Linked DNA regions of Canis lupus familiaris. The protein of the gene in region 1 interacts with the protein of each later gene in a pairwise test. Links are inferred from orthologs where the notes say so. Each region holds a gene or a part of one and is shown in the gene's direction. Other genes may lie near its edges.

Region 1 (4,169 bases):
AGAGACATTTATTGGTAGAAAATGACAGGGTAATTCTGCCGCCCCCCTTCCTCCGTTTATTTAAATTACTAGGTCTCATTTTCCTCATCTGCAAAGTCTGGAGATTGGACAGAGACCATCTCCGTGGTTTCTATTAGAGTCTACAGCTCTAATAACGATGTTACAGATGCAGAGAACAGACTGGTGGTTGCCAGATGTGGGGATTGGGAGTAGTGGGTGAGGAGGGTGGTCGAAGGGTACAAATTTCCTATTGTAAAATAAGTCAGTCCTGGGGATGTAAGGTACAGCCTGGTGACCAAAGTTAACAACACTGTATTGTATATTTGTAAGTTGCTAAGACTGATCTTGAATTATTTTTATGTTTTTTTTTTTTTTTTTGAGGTACATTCACCTACAGTGAAATGTGCAGATTTTACGGGTACTATTCCATGAGTTTTGACAAAGGCATATGCCTCTGTAACCCGAAGCCTAAGGAAGAGACAGAGCTTCTCCATCACTAGAGAATTCCGTCTTCAGCCGCACCCCAGCCTCCCCTCCGGCCACCCCTCTTCTGACTCTTACCACGAAGGGTTAAATAAGATTTAAACATTGTTAAATGCCAGTCTTTGTTTCACAGTGGTCCATCGGTATCGACGCCCTGATTTCTCCAAGGCACTGGGCACTAGACATCGTCTCCATTTTGCAGAGTAAGGCGTTCCGCATCCGGGAGTGAACTGCCCCCGGGGATCCGCTGCCCCGGGTAGGGGCAGGGCGGGAACCGAGAAGCGGTTCTGCGGTTTCTACGGTTTCTACGGCCCCGGCCCCGCACCTCTGAGAAGGCTGCTGCAGAGTCCACAAACCATCACCTCAGGAATAGCATACGCCTCAAACGTTCAGCCCAAATCGGCGCCTCTTAGGCGTTCTCAGACCTCAACAATCCGAAAGGCCGTACGCTCTACACCTTACTAAGGGACTCCTCTCCACCCTGCTCCTCCGAAAGCGGCAGAGGGTGTGCAACACTGCAAATGGGATTTTGCTGGTGGAAAGGCCAAAGGGGGACGGGCCGGCCCGGGCCCGACGACCTTTACGGAGCCCGGCGGCGAGACGCCCGGCGCTGCCTCCTCCGGCGCCACAGCTACCGTCTCAGAATAGAGCGGCACCGAGGCGCTCCGCCGACCGCAGCGGACCAGCGTCCGGCCGAGGGATTGGCCGCGGCCGCGGCAGGGCTCGTCGGGCAGTCCCCGAGCTCGATCAGCCGCGCGTCCTCCTCCAGGTCACCGCCCGCCCCTCTCCGCCTCACCCTTGCGCCGCCCTTCCCCCGCACCCGGGCGGGGTTCTCAGGCTCCTCCCCCGAGTTGACTGTGAGCCTCTGTGCTCCCCCCACCGCTCGCCTCGCGGCTGCCATGGCAACCGTACGCCGCCGCCGCCGCCTCTTCACGCACGTCGGGAACTAACGGACTCGGCGGCCGCAGAGGCCTGTGCCCTTCCCCCAACCGGGCCGCATCACCAACCGGCGGCCGAGCTGCGGCACCTAGGTAATGAATCCGAGGGAGAGGGGCGCAAGCAGGAGAGCAGGTGGGGGGGTATCCAGGCTGACAGCCCCACCCAGTGTCCCGCCGCCTAGGCGGTGCGGCGGCGCGGCGGTCGGGGCGCCGGCAGGGGAGGTGGAGAACAGTGGGAGCTCGAGGCTCGCGGGGCATTATGGGGATCGTAGTTTAGCGGCCCCGCAGGCTTGCGGCCGTGGCGGCGTGGCCTGGACCGGCGAACTACAAAGCCCGGCGGCCCTGGCTGCTGGGAAAGACCGATAAACTTTGAGCCTACCGGGCCAGAGAAAATCTGTGTCTTTGTGGTGCTGGGGCTCTTGGGTGGTCGCCGAACTGCGCTCTGCGCTGGGAAAGGGAAGTGGAGGTGAGACTTGGGCTTCCCGTCCTGCCGTTTGGCCCGCCCCGGTTAACAGCGCTCAGCCCCACCCCGACTGGGCTGGGCCACCGCCCCCGGTAGTCTCGGTGATGAGCAGCCGCCCCAGCTGCAGGGCCTCGGGCCTGCGGCGCCTCTGACCCTCCCAGGTTGCTGCTGCCGCTCGGTGCCGAACCGTATGTATGGCACACATTTGATGGGAGACCGAGAAACGGTTTTTTTTAACAGGCCTTTCTCCTTTCCCTAATACGTTTATTTTTAGATATTTAATCATGTTTATTCTGAAGTAGCTCGGAGGTGTTTGCATATTAAAGCCATTAATAATTACTCAGAGGGCATTAATATTTAAAGGTCAAGTGTAGAAGTAGAGACCATGCTATTATATAGTAATACCTTAAAAAAAAACCGTTCTGCCTTTTGCGTTTTATTTATTGAGGGTCAATATTGTAAAATGAGCCCCCCTCACCCCTACTTAATACTAGCTTGAACATTACCTACACATATTTGAAGATTAATTTAGCTTTAAATTACTAGTGATTTTTAAAGCACAGACTGGTCTTTTTTTTTTTTTTTTTTTAAAGCAGTGAGTAGTAGTAATTATTTTCTTTGATTATTTTAATGTTCTTTAGAATTTCTCGGTAGCATGTTTTCAGAATGAAAAATGCCGTGTTCTACTTAAAAAAAAACAAAAAACAAAAAACTCTGCAATACACCTTAGTCCTTAGAGTTGGCTCAGGCCTTGGTGGTAAGGAAGCCCACCAGATTTAAAAAACCTGCCTTGATTATCTTTTAAAATTTTTTCAACAGGTAGATAACGATCCTAGAAATTTGGTATTTTATAGAGTATGTGGAAAAAATTGATAGTAGAGTGGTCTTATTTTGTGTGTTTTACATCATTTTTTTAAAAAAGAATTTATTAGCACAAGCAGAGGGAGCAGCTGAGGGACAGGGAGAAGGAGGCTCCCAGCTTAGCAGAGCTTCTTGATTCCCAAGACCCTGAGATCATGACCTGAGCCAAAGGCAGACACTTGACCAACTGTGTTTTATTTATTTATTTATTTTTAAACTTAAAAAAAAAAAAATTAGTTTTGAGAGAGAACAAGTGGGAAGGGGCAAGGGCAGAGGAGGAAACAAACTTTCCACTGAGCAGCAGGGAGTCTGATGCAGGACTGATCCCAGGACCCTGGGAGCATGACTTGAGCCAAAGGCAGATGCTTAACTGACTGAGTCACCCAGCTCCCCAGACTGTGTTTTAAACAAGAAAATAACACAGCGCCCCTACAAAATTCCCTTTTTCTCAAAATAAGACTGGCTTGTAAATTTTACTTAAAGTACCAATTTTTTACAAGGATATGGAAAGTAAATTTTGTAAGACCATTATAAAAAAATTGAGGCCTTATTAGGGGTTGGAAGCATTTTATTTGTTTATTCAAGATTTGTTAAGAACCTATTATATTGGGGACACCTGGGTGCCTCAGTGGTTGAGCGTCTGCCTTTGGCTCAGGGCGTGATCCTGGAGTCCAGTGATCGAGTCCCACATCGGGCTCCCTGCATGGAGCCTGCCTCTCCCTCTGCCTGTGTCTCTGCCTCTTTCTGTGTCTCTCATGAATAAATAAATAAAATCTACAAAAGAACCTATTATATTGTATATTATGCCTGGTAGTGGGAATAAAAAGATGATAGAAGATAATCTGTGTTCTGTATGAGCAAACAGTTACATCATCACAATAGTATGATAGAGGTAGGTGCAAGTTACTGTAGGATCCCAGAGTGGGAATAAATAGTCATATAACATTTAACTGTTATTGAATACTTAATTTTAGTGAGGCTCCGTGCAGTATTTTGCACGTAGCCCATTATTTAATTCTCATAAAAATTTCTAGCTACTGTTATTTAGAAATGAGGAAGCAAACTAAGAGATCTTGTCCAGAGTCATAGGTGATAAAGTTTGAACCTGGGATTTCAACTCAGGTGGGGTATAACTCATTTAAGTCATGATCTCAGCCCCTGATGCCATTCTCTGTACCCATTGGTAGAAAGATTCTGACCCTAAGGAGATTAGGGGAAGTTTCCAGTATGGTGTGACATTTGACTTGTGTTAAGAAAGTTGAGTAACCTTTCAATGGAAGAGAAGATGAGGAAAGTCATTTTAGGCAAATGGCAAAGGATAATTTCTAGTGGTTTGTGTTTGCAGAACCCTAGGTCTTTCTTATACCTCAGTCCCAGAGTATGAGTACTTGCAGTGTAGTGGGTGGAAGATGGTAAAGTACTTG
Region 2 (4,015 bases), on another chromosome or scaffold:
CTGGGGGAAGAGTGTTCCAGGAAGAGGGAAAGAACATGTACAAGCAGTCCGAGAGAGATGGAAGCCTGCCCGCTATTTTCAAGGAGCAGCAAGGAGGCCATTCTGACTAGAGTGGAATGAAGAACAAACGGGAAAGTGGTAAGAGATGAAATCACTCAGAATGACAGTTAAAACAGGAAGCAGTGAAAAACAGCAAATTTTTCATCTGTCTCAACATAAAGCAAAAAGAATATCCTGACACACTGGCTGTGTGGTTGTAAGGGAACTAGAGTAACTCTTACGCGCTGGCACTAATAATTTTCAACCTAGTTATACGTTCAAACATCTTATTTTTCCAATTATTAAGCGCTTGTACTACTGTAAGTTAATCTCAAGCAGTTTATCTACCCATATTAGGGATAAGCCTCCTACAGTTGGCTATTCATATGCTGCCTGGGACGGGAGGGGGCCGTGCAGGGCAGAGCCGGGCTGAGCACGGCTGTGACAGCTGTACCTCTGTACCTTCTCCACCAGAATGCGGTCCGCCTCTTGCACGCTGGTATCCGGCACTTGCTTGTCCAAATAACCGACGGGGTACAGCGAGTCTCCCTGGCCACCGCCCCGGTCACTTCGGCTCCTAAGGAACCAAACCAAGAAACTAAGGCTGCAGCCTCCCACCCTTCACATTCCACGTTCCCGCTCCACTAACCATGGAATTTTCCAAAGACCCTAAAATACACCCGCCCAGATTAGAACACGCCGTCTCGTGGGTTCGTCAGACGTCTGCCTATCGAGTGAGTGAAATCAGGATCCTCGGAGGATTAGAAAGCTCCCCGGGGCCCGTCTTTGTGCCACCCGTCATTCTCGGAGGGTTGGACCTGGGGTCAGGTCCCGTTCCCGGGCGACCGTTCTGGTTGAAGGCTCGGGTTACCGAGCTCCGCCCCGGCTCCTCACCTGCTGCCTCCTCCAGGCCCGCTCAGCTCAATGGCCCACTTGAAACGCCGGCCTCGGTTGGCCACCAGGCTCCCCTGGGCCGTCATGGCACCCGCCTCCTACCGGAGCAGCGAACCTCGTCACTCCCCGGCGGGGTCCAGGCCCTGGCCCCGGCCCCGGCCCCGGACGCCGCTACGTCTGGGTCTCCCCGCGGCCCGCTTCCGGCGCTTAGCATAGACGTCACTTCCGGTCTGGAAGTGGGCGGGGCCTCCGCGGGGGCGGGGGGCCCCGCCGCGGAGGACGGCCGGCCGCGGCTCCCCAGGTCGCGCGGCCCTGGGGGTGTATCCCGGGAGCCCCGACGTGCACGCGAGCGAGCGAGCGGGAGGCGGGCTGCGGTGCGCCCTGCCCCTGCGCTAGGGGTGAAAGCCGAGCTCGCCTTCTCGAGTTCCTGCGCGCCCCGGAAACACGAGGCGCAGGCCTCGGCTTCACGCCCGGATCCGCGTGGGGTCCTCCGACCGGGAGCGGGTTCTTGACTGGCTTCCCGAGGCGAACGAGCGCCTGCCAGGTCCCGGGAGTTGGGTCTGTGTTATTCAAGTCACATCAATCCTGCTGATGAAGTTTTGGAATCGGGGTGGGGGGTGGGGTGGGGTGGGGTCCGGTCCGCAGCCCACGACCGAGGAGGAAGTCTGGAGACGTCTTTGGTGCAAAATGGTGCTTTCATTAAAGCCCGGGACGGGACCTGGGGGCAGGAAGGGCTGCAGCCCCCTTGGGTTCCCGGGGGTGGCTGACGCTACACCTGGGGGCTGGGGGCTTGAGGGCAAGGGAGGCTTTCAAACGAATGTCTGTAGGCTGACGCGGGCCTCGGGCCTCGGGCCACTGGCGGCCTTGCCGGCGGCCAGTTAAGGCGGTTCTTCCTCTAGTAAAGCGTTAACGTTCGGACGGTTGGGCGTCTCCTTCTGGACGTTAGGCTGCTGATACGCATGCGTTTTTCTTGTGAATCACAAAGACCCCGAGGGACACTTGTGCCGTAGAACTGTAGCCCCTCGGTTAGCTGCTCTTCCTTTCCCTTCGCGTCAGGGCCGGCAGGAGCGCCTCAGGAGGCCACATCCCCTGGGGCGGGCGGGCCTCGTCGGCGGCGTGTCCGCTGAGCTCCGTCCTCAGCCTTGTGTGCCCTCGTCGCGCAAGGCGAATCCTTCTGTGACCTTGCTGCCCCAGAGCTGGGAGCAGTGCGGACGTGGGCAGCTTATGGGCTTGACATTCAGATGGCCTCCCTCGGATCCTGGCTCTTTACTTACTTGTGTGACTCTGGACACGTTAGATATTTAGGGCTTCAGCCTCTTCGTAGGTAGGAGTTGGATAATCCACCTGCTTTAGGACGCCTGGGGGGCTCGGCGGTCGAACGCCTCCCTTCCGCTCGGGGCGTGACCCCGGGGTCCCGGGATGAGGCCCGCCCGCCCGCCCGCATCGTGCGCCCTGCAGGGAGCCTGCTTCTCCTCTTACTGCCTGTGTCTCTGCCTCTCTCGGTGTCTCCCATGAATAAATAAATCTTTTTTTAAAAAAAATTACCTACTTGCAAGGCTTATGAGGGTAAAAGGAGTGCCTGCCACGAATGCTTTTTTTTTTTTTTTTTTTTTGATTAAAAAAGTACTCTAAAGAAGCGCCTGGGTGGCACATTTGGTTAGGATCCGCCTTCAGCTCCCATCATGATCCCGGGGTCCTGGATTGGAGCCCTGCATCGGGCTCCCTGCTCAGTGGGGACACAGCTTATCCCTTCTCCCTCTACCTCTGCCCACTCCCCCACCCATGCTCTCTAGCTCTTACTCTCTTTCAAATAAAATCTTAAAAAAAAAAAAAAAGCACACTAGCTATTGGATTTTTGTATTGAGTTCTATACCTATATAATAATATAACCTGTTATGGATACTTGTTTCCCGTTTTTTTTTCCCCTTTTATAAACAAACAGTGTTTATTAACCCTATGTCTTTTCTTACTAAAATTCCTAAGAATGCAGTTGCTGGATCAAAGATTGCACGTTTTTTTTTTTTAAGATTTTATTCATTTCTTCACAAGAGCCACAGAGACAAAGAGGGGGCAGAGACACAGGCAGAGGGAGAAGCAGGCTCCATCCCAGGACTCCAGGATCACACCCTGGGCCGAAGGCAAGGTCTAAACCGCCGAGCCACCCAGGAATCCCCAAAGATTGCAAATTTTTAAGGAATTTTCATTTTAAATGTCTTCTAGCAGTATCCATTTGCACCCATTTGCATTCCACCAGCCTTATATTATTTTTAAATTGGTTTGAAAATGGTTCTGTATTTTCAGACTTTTATTCCTTTGACTCCAAGTTATCTGATATGGTCAGGGTTGGGGTGAGGGAAGAAGAGTGCTATGAGAGTCTGGTTGGGAGGTGAGGTTGAAAAGGGCCAATTAGAGAGTTTGGACCCTTGAAGATGATGGTGATCTAGGGACACAAGATTTCCATCCCCATTTTGTCTTCTCCTTTTAAAGATATTTTGTGTTCATGGCAGACTGTTTGAATAAGGTGGAAAAGGCTTTTCCCCTTCCAGTTCATTCTAAAATGTGTATTTATATGATCATAGGAAGACCAGACCTGTGGATTGCTTTCCTGCTTCTTTCTACTTTTCTGGCTTTATCTGTTATCTCTAATGAACCTTTGAGACTGATGTCAGACTGTACAAGGGTCTTGGCCCTATTGGGCAATCTTCTTTGTCCCAGAACAGTCTATGTAATAGCACTTACCAAATTGCACTTGTGTTTGTTGACGTCCCTTGAGCACGTATCTACCCTTCTTGCTGCACTATGCCCTAAATTCCTTTAAGTTAGGAACTACATGTCAATTATTTTGGATTCCACTGCCTAGAACATAATGTATTGAATAAATGTTTAGTGAATATGAGCAAGTTAATAGAAAGTAAATATACTATAATTACATTTATGTGAAAAAATGTAAAAACTCAAAGAGAATACATGTTAGGGTGTTATATATTCAATCAATGGTTTCCATGAAATTTTTTTTGATCAAACTATTGTCCTGCTTCTTAAATAAATTGTAAAGCGGGATCCCTGGGTGGCGCAGCAGTTT
Region 3 (4,161 bases), on another chromosome or scaffold:
CCTTCTTCTCTCGGCAAGCAGTTCCTTTCCCACCAATGCGCACCTGTGCTTGCAGTTTGGCGAGTTTCTCCCCGTTCACAATGGTTTCTTTCCTCTTGTTGGAGCAGAAATGGGACCGCGCGCGGAGGGGAGGGGAGGGGAGCGGGGGGGGGGGGGGGGTGGCGCTCAGGGGGTCTCGGGAGACCAGGTGCACAAACCGAGAAATCATTTCTATACAGCGCCAGTTTACAGCCATACCTACGGATTCCCCGAACCAAATCTCTAGCATACAGAAACGAACCTTGCTTAGGGGATACTGAGAAGTTTGATTACCCAAAATATCAATCACTAGGCAGCTCTCTGACGCCTTTAAGTCCTGGTTTTAAAAAAAAAAAAAATAAGTTCAATCCCTTTCTCCCAACAATTCTCTACAGGAAAAACAAAACAAAACAAACACAAAACACAACAACCCTCCACAACTGCAAATAGTAGGCATCCGTTTACTTATGTACCTAATGGAATTCGAGACGTGCCAAGGAAATAGTCATTTTTCAACTTCATTAACTGGTCTCTCTGCCCTACGAGTGAGAACAAGTCATAGTGAAATCAAATCACTCAGAAAGGGAGCTAGGAACAATTTTTCGCGAAGAATTAAAGTGTAGGGCAGCCCGGGTGGCTCAGCGGGTTGGCGGCTGCCTTCGGCCCAGGGCGTGACCCTGGAGACCCGGGGTCGAGTCCCACGTCGAGTCCCACGTCGGGCTCCCTGCGTGGAGCCTGCTTCTCCCTCTGCCGTGTCTCTCACGAATAAATAAATAAATAAAATCTTTTTTTAAAAAAAATTAAGGTGCATGGAGAACGGCAGGCGCGTTTTCCCCTCTCACCGGTGGGTCGCACTGTTCAAATGTCTTTGCTCATCAAGTTTAACTGAATCAGAAAATGGGAGGAGCGGGCCGACCATCCGACAGCAGGAAACACGCGGAATCGATCCGTGACTCGGCGGGGAACCGGCTTTCGTCAGCGGTTCCTCCTGGTGGGCGTGGACAAGTCATCTCACCCTCTCGGGCTTCGGTTTCCCACCGCTGGGCGGAGATACCTGCCGGTCGCCGCCTTTCCAGCCGCCCCCGGGGCGCCTCACAACCTGCCCTTTCACCCCGCGCCTCTCTGCGCCTGCGTCGAAGAAGCGCCCGCACTTCATTGCCTGTTAGCTTTCTCTGCGCAGGCGCCAAGTTTCCCCACCTCCGTCTCCTGCGGTGGGGGGAGGGGCGGGACTTCCTGTCCCCCGTAGGGCTCCGCCGGAAGTGACGGCGAGCGAATCGGCGTGCGCCGGGCCTGGAACCGGGTAAGGTGGCGGTGCTCATTGCTGCCTCTAGGCCTCAAAGATGCCGGGCCTGGCGGCCGCAAGCCCTGCCCCATCTGACTCACAGGAGAAGAAGCCGCTGAAGCCCTGCTGCGCCTGCCCGGAGACCAAGAAGGCGCGCGATGCGTGGTCAGTGCGCAAGCGGGAGGGGGCGGCGGGCAGGTGCCTCCGTACCCCGCTCGGCCTCGGGCTCGTACCGGACCCGGCTCGCTGTGCTGCGCCCTTGGGAGTTGTAGGGCGCCGTGGGCTGTGGGCCGGCTGTCCCCGTAGCCCAGCCGGGGGACGTGGACGAAGCGGGCTCGCTTCACCCGTTCAGCTTTTCTGCAAAGGGTCTTTGAGCATCTGTTACGCGTCAAGTGCTGCCCTTCGGTCTCCTAAATACGTAGAAATAGATGAAAGATGCGAATTGACTTAAAAAGGAGCTTAAAATTAATGGAAGTCTATACTAATGATTGCTGTTACCACCCGGTACGGGGTAGGAGAGAAGACTTGGCAAGATCGAAGAGTAAAAGTTTTCTGGTAAAATTTTAGCACAGCGGGACCCGGTTACGTGTCTTAAAAGTACTGGAGTCCCCCTTGCCTCTCCTCCTCCATCATCTTTGGAGAGATGAATGAAAAAAATCATCTGTGAAGCAGGGTGACACCGTGTTGAGAATAGTACATCTAAATTACCAATTACCATCAACCCACGGAAGGTTTCGTTTCTTTTCATTTGATACCGCCTCCGTTGTGGATTGTGGAACAAATCTCATTCGGGGGAATGGGCAGAAAATGTGAATGCACACCTCTCCCTCCAGCCCCTTTTTTATCCTCACACCAAAAAAAAAAAAAAAATTCAAAAGTGGCATAGTGCGGTTAAGTTGTAAGGAGCTTAGTGCTTTTTATTACTGCTCGATACTTCGCAACTAATACCGCGAAAGAATCGAAAGGCGACAGTCTGATGCAGAAATGGCTTTCCTAGTTTACAGTAAGTGCTTATTGAATCTTAAAAAGAGCCCGGAGTCATGACTGAGAGCCTGAGATGCAGAGTCAAGGTTTGATTTGAATCCTTGGTCCACCAGCTTTGTGACCTTGAGCAAATCACTTAAGGTACCTGCGTCCTGTGTCTGTAAAATGGGTCTAATAAAAGTGTCCGCCTCTAGGATTACTGTACAGGTCAATGATACAAGCCACACGAGGGCCTCGCCAGCTGTTCTCTTCACAGGGGGCTCTATCCCCAGCATCCCTTCATCTGCAGGCAGCCCTTGAGCTATTGAAGGATGTATGGTCTTTCTTTCTTTCTTTCTTTCTTTCTTTCTTTCTTTCTTTCTTTCTTTCTTTCTTTCTTTCTTTCTTTCTTTCTTTCTTTCTTTCTTTCTTTCTTTCTTTCTTTCTTTCTTTCTTTCTTTCTTTCTTTCTTTCTTTCTTTCTTTCTTTCTTTTCTTTAAAGAAGGAAAACCTATCCTTCCGATTGTTTTCATGTTAGTTGCCTCAGACCACTATGCACAAATATCTATAGTCAGTAGTCAGTTTTTTCTTATAATTAAATTCGGCTTAACTTCATCTTTACTAAAATTGCCTTTTCAGGCCCTAGAAGTCAAGCTGTATGGTCCTAGTTTTTACTTTGTGCATCCTACAAATAGAAAGTTCTTTGATCATCATGAGGGAGGCTCATTAGGCTGCTGTTGGCTGGCAGATCTTGATGTTTATGTGGTTGGGTGTATTTTGATTAGAAGGAGATTTATTTGGGTCTATTTGAATGTAGGGCAGAATGAAAAATTTAATTATTTTATAGTAGGCAAATTGAAGGTAAATGTTCAGATGGTTTATTTCATTAGAGAACTATGTATGTTCCTTGGATATAAGCTAGAGGCAATATTTGATAGGCATAATTATTTCTTCTAATTAGATTCTCCCTAAAAGCTAGTTGTCTGTGGAATATCTTCATGGGCACAGAAATATTACAAAAGCCAATAAAAACAAAGCCATTCGGTGTAATAGCATTTTTTTTTAAAGCTCCAGCTACTGTTGGCAAATCAAACTCCAATAAAAAGATAAATACAAAAATGAAGAAATAAAAAAATAAAGCTTCAGCTACATTCCATCAGACCCATGTTCTGTCTCACCCCCCATCACTATCATGCTGCTTGTTTACTAGTAATGTACTTAATGCCTACTTTGTTAGATAACAAGTACATTTTGTTTTATAGCATCATTGAGAAAGGAGAGGAGCACTGTGGACACCTAATTGAGGCCCACAAGGAGTGCATGAGAGCCCTGGGATTTAAGATATGAAATGGTGAGCGTGATACTTTCTGATTGGGAAGATAATACATAAGCTTATTGCTTCAAATTTGTGCTTTGCATATTTAGCAGTCATTGGGCAAGCTTCCATTCAAAGTGTAGTTCACCTGGTTAAGATGCTCAAGTCTCACTTAAAAATAATTTTCAGTTTCTAATGTAGGGACTAAATGATGCTAATAAGTTGAGAGGCATTCAGTGGATTTGGGGAGGGAGAATTTATCTTTTAAAACAGGGTTTGATAAAAGCCTTTAGAGTTACGTCAGAGTCAGAAGAGATAATAATTTAAGAAGCTCAGAATGTTCAGTTGTCTGACTTAAAGGAACTAAAAAGAAAATAATCTTTACTTCTTGTCTCTGAAGTGGGTCTTTATTTTTTTAAGGATTTTGTTTCTTTGACAGAGAGGACAAGCAGGGGGAATGGGAGAGGGAGAAGCAGACTCCTCACGGAGCAGGGAGCCAGATGTAGGGCTCCATCCCAGGACCCCAGGATCATGAGCCGAAGGCAGATGCTTAACCAACTGAGCCACCCAGGTGCCCTGTTGT
Region 4 (3,972 bases), on another chromosome or scaffold:
ACCTCCGAAGTATTTCTTCAATGGCATGTTCTTCCCGTTGTGCATCACCTTCCAAACTTGGCTCAGAACCTCTCTTCTCTGGGAGGCTCTTCCTTCCCTAAACAATTCCCTTTTCCAAGCCTGGTAACTTTCACACACCCATAGCCACCATCAGTGCCAGTGCCTTTTGCCCCTCTGTATTCTGTTTCTGGGAGTTTTCCAGATGTGAATGGGGTGGAGGGATCATTTGTCTTGTTCTCTGCTGTATTCCCAGCATTTTGGAGTAAGTTACCTTGGTTTTGAATTTTAAGTATGCATCTGCCAAAGTCTACCATCATCCAGAAAGGTCCAGAGGAACAAGACTTAAAACTTTTCTGTGACTTACCAATCGTCCACAAGGGACATAGAGGATACCTTTCCTTCGGCTCCTAATCTTGTTATTTTGCCCCGCATTCTCTAATCTCAGCAATAATTCATCTTTAGTGGTTAAGAGCCCAGATTGTGAAGCCAGACTGTCTAGCTCCAATATTTGGTGTATGACCTTGGACTGCCAATCAGTTTTCTCATATATAAAATGGTAATGACAACTGCCTTATACATTGGTTGAAAGGAGTTCATTTCTTTAAATTATCTATTACTTATGCTTGGCTTACGATTGGTGCTATCAGTTACTATTGAACCCTGTACAGTGGCCTGTAAAGTACTTTCGCCTCCGTATCTCATCCGAGGAATCCAGCGGCCTGGTGGGACAGGAACACTTAACAAATCAGAAAGCTGAGGCTGAGAGTGATTTATTCAAGCGCTCGGGCCGGGCGGGCGTGACTTCTGACCAGACTCATTCTCCGCCTCCCATGCCGGGGTACCCTCTCCGGCGGCCCGAACAGAAACAGCATTTCCAGATAGGGTGGATTACCTGGGCTGCTGGCAGCAGGCCCGGGCCGAGGGCAGCAGCGGCTGGGGGCGTCAGGCTCAGGGAGCCCAGGGCGCGAGTCAGTGCCCTCAGGGCCATGAGGGTACCGAGGCTCCGCAGGAGTCAGCGCACCACCATTACTTTTAGTCAGGCCGCCTGGCGTCTATAGATGACGCCAACGAATCCTGGTGCGGTCGCTCCTTCATGACGTAAAGAGGTGGGCAGAGACTCCGAGCCCAAGGTGCATACACACCTCCGTGCGCGTGGCCAGAGCCAATCCCCGGGCGGTCCTTAGGTCGCGTGACTGGGGAGCACTCGGCCCCTCCCCTCGGAGCCGTCAAAACAATTGCCTCGAGCGGCAGCCATGATTAATTTAAAGGGGCAGTACCGGCAAGGGAGGCGGCCAGAGCGACAGACTGCGGGTGAGTCTTCGAGGGTACTCCTGGGGCTGAGGGCTGAGGTCCCGCTACCTCTTTTCCGCATTCCCGGACAGATGAACAAATTCCCACCAGCTGACCTCGCACAACTCCAGACTGGCTGAAAAACTCCGCCCCCTGCGAGTCTTCCCGCCCCTCGGCGTCCAGACAGACAGACAGACGGCCTGCCCCGCCCCCTGCGCTACGGACAGACACGTTGACCTCGGGATTGTCGGGCGGCTGGGGGCTCGCCGGTGCGGCGGGCCTCGGCCGGCCACCCGCACCTCCCCCCACCGCCATCGCCCCCGCCCGTTTCACTCTGTCCCCACCCTGGGCCCCAGGGCAGGTCGACAGCCGGGGACATTTCTCTACTGCATTCCCAGGCTGGGAGACCAACTCCCGGCGCCGCGTTTCCCTGTGACTCTACAGCCGCTCTGAAGACCTGCCATTCTTTCCTGCATCTTCAGGCGTCTGAGAGGCACCCTGAGGTGACTCCTCTTGGAGCCTATTACTAGGTGGTCATGACAAAGACAAAGCCTTGAAAGTGAATGGCTCAGGAGTGACCAGGTCTCCCTCCTCTCCCTTCCCAGACACGCCCCTGGCCACAGGTCTCGGATCAAGTATCACTCCATTCTTGGGAGAAAATAGCTCCCAGTGGCCTGGGGTGGAAGGTCGGCTTCAGGAAGGAAGAGGGACCGACGTTGGTCGCCTTTGAAGGCCTTGGAGGTAGAGAGAGGGAGGGTGCTGCCCTGAGTAGGGCTCTGTGCCAGGTCCTCTGGGTGGCTGTGAAGTGGAGAGAGAAGGGGTGGGAACGCTGGACTTCTGGACTTTGGGCAGGGCAGATCCTGTGAGTACCTGGCTACTGAAAGAGTTTCTTCCGGGCTCTGGCCTGAGTGCCACAGGCAAGGGCTCTGCTCTAAACCGGTAAGAGTCCTGGAAAGATGAGAAACAAGGTCTTTTGAGGAGGTGGGAAGAGAGCCTGGCACCTGGCAGGTGGGAAGTATCGGTTGAAGGCCTAGTGGGGGAAGAGGCAGTTTACTAGGTTTGGAGATGCTGGCCTTGGCTCTGAGGGTGACGGAGTCTGAAGACCTTGAGCTTCCTGGGGGACTCTCATTTGGGTCCTGCAGTGAAGGTGCCTTTCTTCTTCTCTCCCTCTTCCCTCTAACTTTGAAACCTGTACCTTTCCCATTTAACAAAACCTCTGTACCATTTTCTTTATATCTTTTGTTGGCTTTAACCCTGTTAACTTTGCAGCATTCTCCAGACACCCTCTGTGTTCCCTCTAATGCTGTCTCTCATCTGATTCCTTTTCCTATTCCTAGCCCAAGCGCTATTTCCGACAACTTTTCTATTCTCTTCCTAAGTGCTAAATTTGTTAGCTGGTTCTCAGCACTTTTGTTCCTTCTATAGTCTTTCTTCATTCGAGTCAATTCTTCTTCCTCTCTCTTTCCCACAACTTTAGCTTTGTAGGCTCCCTCCCCACTGGCCACTGTCTCTCCAATTAAACCAGAAGATCACCCATACTCTCTCTCATCCCTTCCCTTGGATCCTTACCACCCTCTAACCAAGGTGCTCAGTCTCTCTTATCTTTACCTCTACTGAGTTCTGTTGTTTCTCCTCAGCCCAGGCAAGGTCCCCCTGGCTAAGATGTCAGGCCTGGTGTTGGGTCAGCGGGATGAGCCTGCAGGGCACCGGCTCAGCCAGGAGGAGATCCTGGGAAGCACTCGGCTGGTAAGCCAGGGGCTGGAGGCTCTACACAGTGAACATCAGGCTGTCCTGCAAAGTCTGTCCCATACCATTGAGTGTCTGCAGCAAGGTGGCCATGAAGAAGGACTGGTGCATGAGAAGGCCCGGCAGCTGCGACGTTCCATGGAAAACATTGAGCTGGGGCTCAGTGAGGCCCAGGTAAGAGGAAGGAGGTGACGCCAAGGGGCTCTTGGAGAAGTATTGGAGATTTGGGGTCATTTAGGATTGCCTTGTCCTAGATGCTTGCATTCATTCATTTATTCATTCATTCAGTAACCCTACTTTGTGCCCAGCACAAGTCTTCTGGGCACTGAAGAAACATCACTGGACACAACAGTCAAAAATCGTTGCCATCTCGGAGCTTACATTCTAGTGGCAGGAGGCAAACAATACACAAATAAGTAAATGATTCTGTATGTCAGAGTGATAATTGCTAAGGAAAAGGGATAAAAATAAAACAGAGAAGGGGACTAGGGGGTACAGAGACAGGACACAACTTTAGATAGGGTGGTCAAAAAAAGTCTTACCGAGGGACACCTGAGTGGCTCAGCGGTTGGGCGTCTGCCTTTGACTCAGGGCATGATCTCAGTCCCGGGATTGAGTCCCATATCAAGCTCCTTGCGAGGAGCCTGCTTCTCCTTCTGCCTGTGTCTCTGCCTCTCTCTGTATCTGTCATGAATAAATAAAATCTTAAAAAAAAAGTCTTACTGAAAGGTGACATTTGAGCAAAGATTTGAAGATGAGAGAGTGAGTCTTACAATAAATGGGGGGAAGAGCAGCTAAAGCAGAGTGGGTAGTACATACAAAGGCCCTGACCTGGAGCCTTCCCAGTGAGTTCAATGAGGGACCAGTGTGGCTGCAGTAGAGTGGATGAGGTGAAGCAAAATAGAAAATGAAGTGCTGGCTCAGTCAGTGGAGCAT

Evidence for each region.
Region 2: the proteins of KATNAL1 (region 1) and KATNBL1 interact in binary tests that used the Homo sapiens proteins (3 or more experiments, as listed by UniProt). The two-hybrid records come from large-scale screens. The link is inferred for Canis lupus familiaris from reciprocal best matches to the Homo sapiens genes KATNAL1 and KATNBL1.
Region 3: the proteins of KATNAL1 (region 1) and COX17 interact in binary tests that used the Homo sapiens proteins (3 or more experiments, as listed by UniProt). The two-hybrid records come from large-scale screens. The link is inferred for Canis lupus familiaris from reciprocal best matches to the Homo sapiens genes KATNAL1 and COX17.
Region 4: the proteins of KATNAL1 (region 1) and KLC4 interact in binary tests that used the Homo sapiens proteins (3 or more experiments, as listed by UniProt). The two-hybrid records come from large-scale screens. The link is inferred for Canis lupus familiaris from reciprocal best matches to the Homo sapiens genes KATNAL1 and KLC4.

Annotation. Positions count from the first base shown.
Region 1 is NC_049246.1:9,765,970-9,770,138, forward strand, and holds the start of KATNAL1 (katanin p60 ATPase-containing subunit A-like 1), read left to right. Parts: upstream 1-1,366; 5' UTR 1,367-1,514; intron 1,515-4,169. UniProt on the Homo sapiens protein: Regulates microtubule dynamics in Sertoli cells, a process that is essential for spermiogenesis and male fertility. Severs microtubules in an ATP-dependent manner, promoting rapid reorganization of cellular microtubule arrays.
Region 2 is NC_049251.1:1,135,078-1,139,092, forward strand, and holds the start of KATNBL1 (KATNB1-like protein 1), read left to right. Parts: upstream 1-1,207; 5' UTR 1,208-1,491; intron 1,492-4,015. Other genes in the region: EMC4 (ER membrane protein complex subunit 4), read right to left, coding at 502-616, 934-1,019.
Region 3 is NC_049254.1:23,955,769-23,959,929, reverse strand, and holds the start of COX17 (cytochrome c oxidase copper chaperone), read left to right. Parts: upstream 1-1,353; 5' UTR 1,354-1,358; coding exon 1,359-1,465; intron 1,466-3,525; coding exon 3,526-3,610; 3' UTR 3,611-3,614; intron 3,615-4,161.
Region 4 is NC_049233.1:11,765,622-11,769,593, forward strand, and holds the start of KLC4 (kinesin light chain 4), read left to right. Parts: upstream 1-1,164; 5' UTR 1,165-1,311; intron 1,312-1,317; exon of another isoform or gene 1,318-1,401; 5' UTR 1,402-1,793; intron 1,794-1,800; exon of another isoform or gene 1,801-1,895; 5' UTR 1,896-2,031; intron 2,032-2,070; exon of another isoform or gene 2,071-2,229; intron 2,230-2,927; 5' UTR 2,928-2,952; coding exon 2,953-3,210; intron 3,211-3,972. Other genes in the region: MRPL2 (39S ribosomal protein L2, mitochondrial), read right to left, coding at 893-988.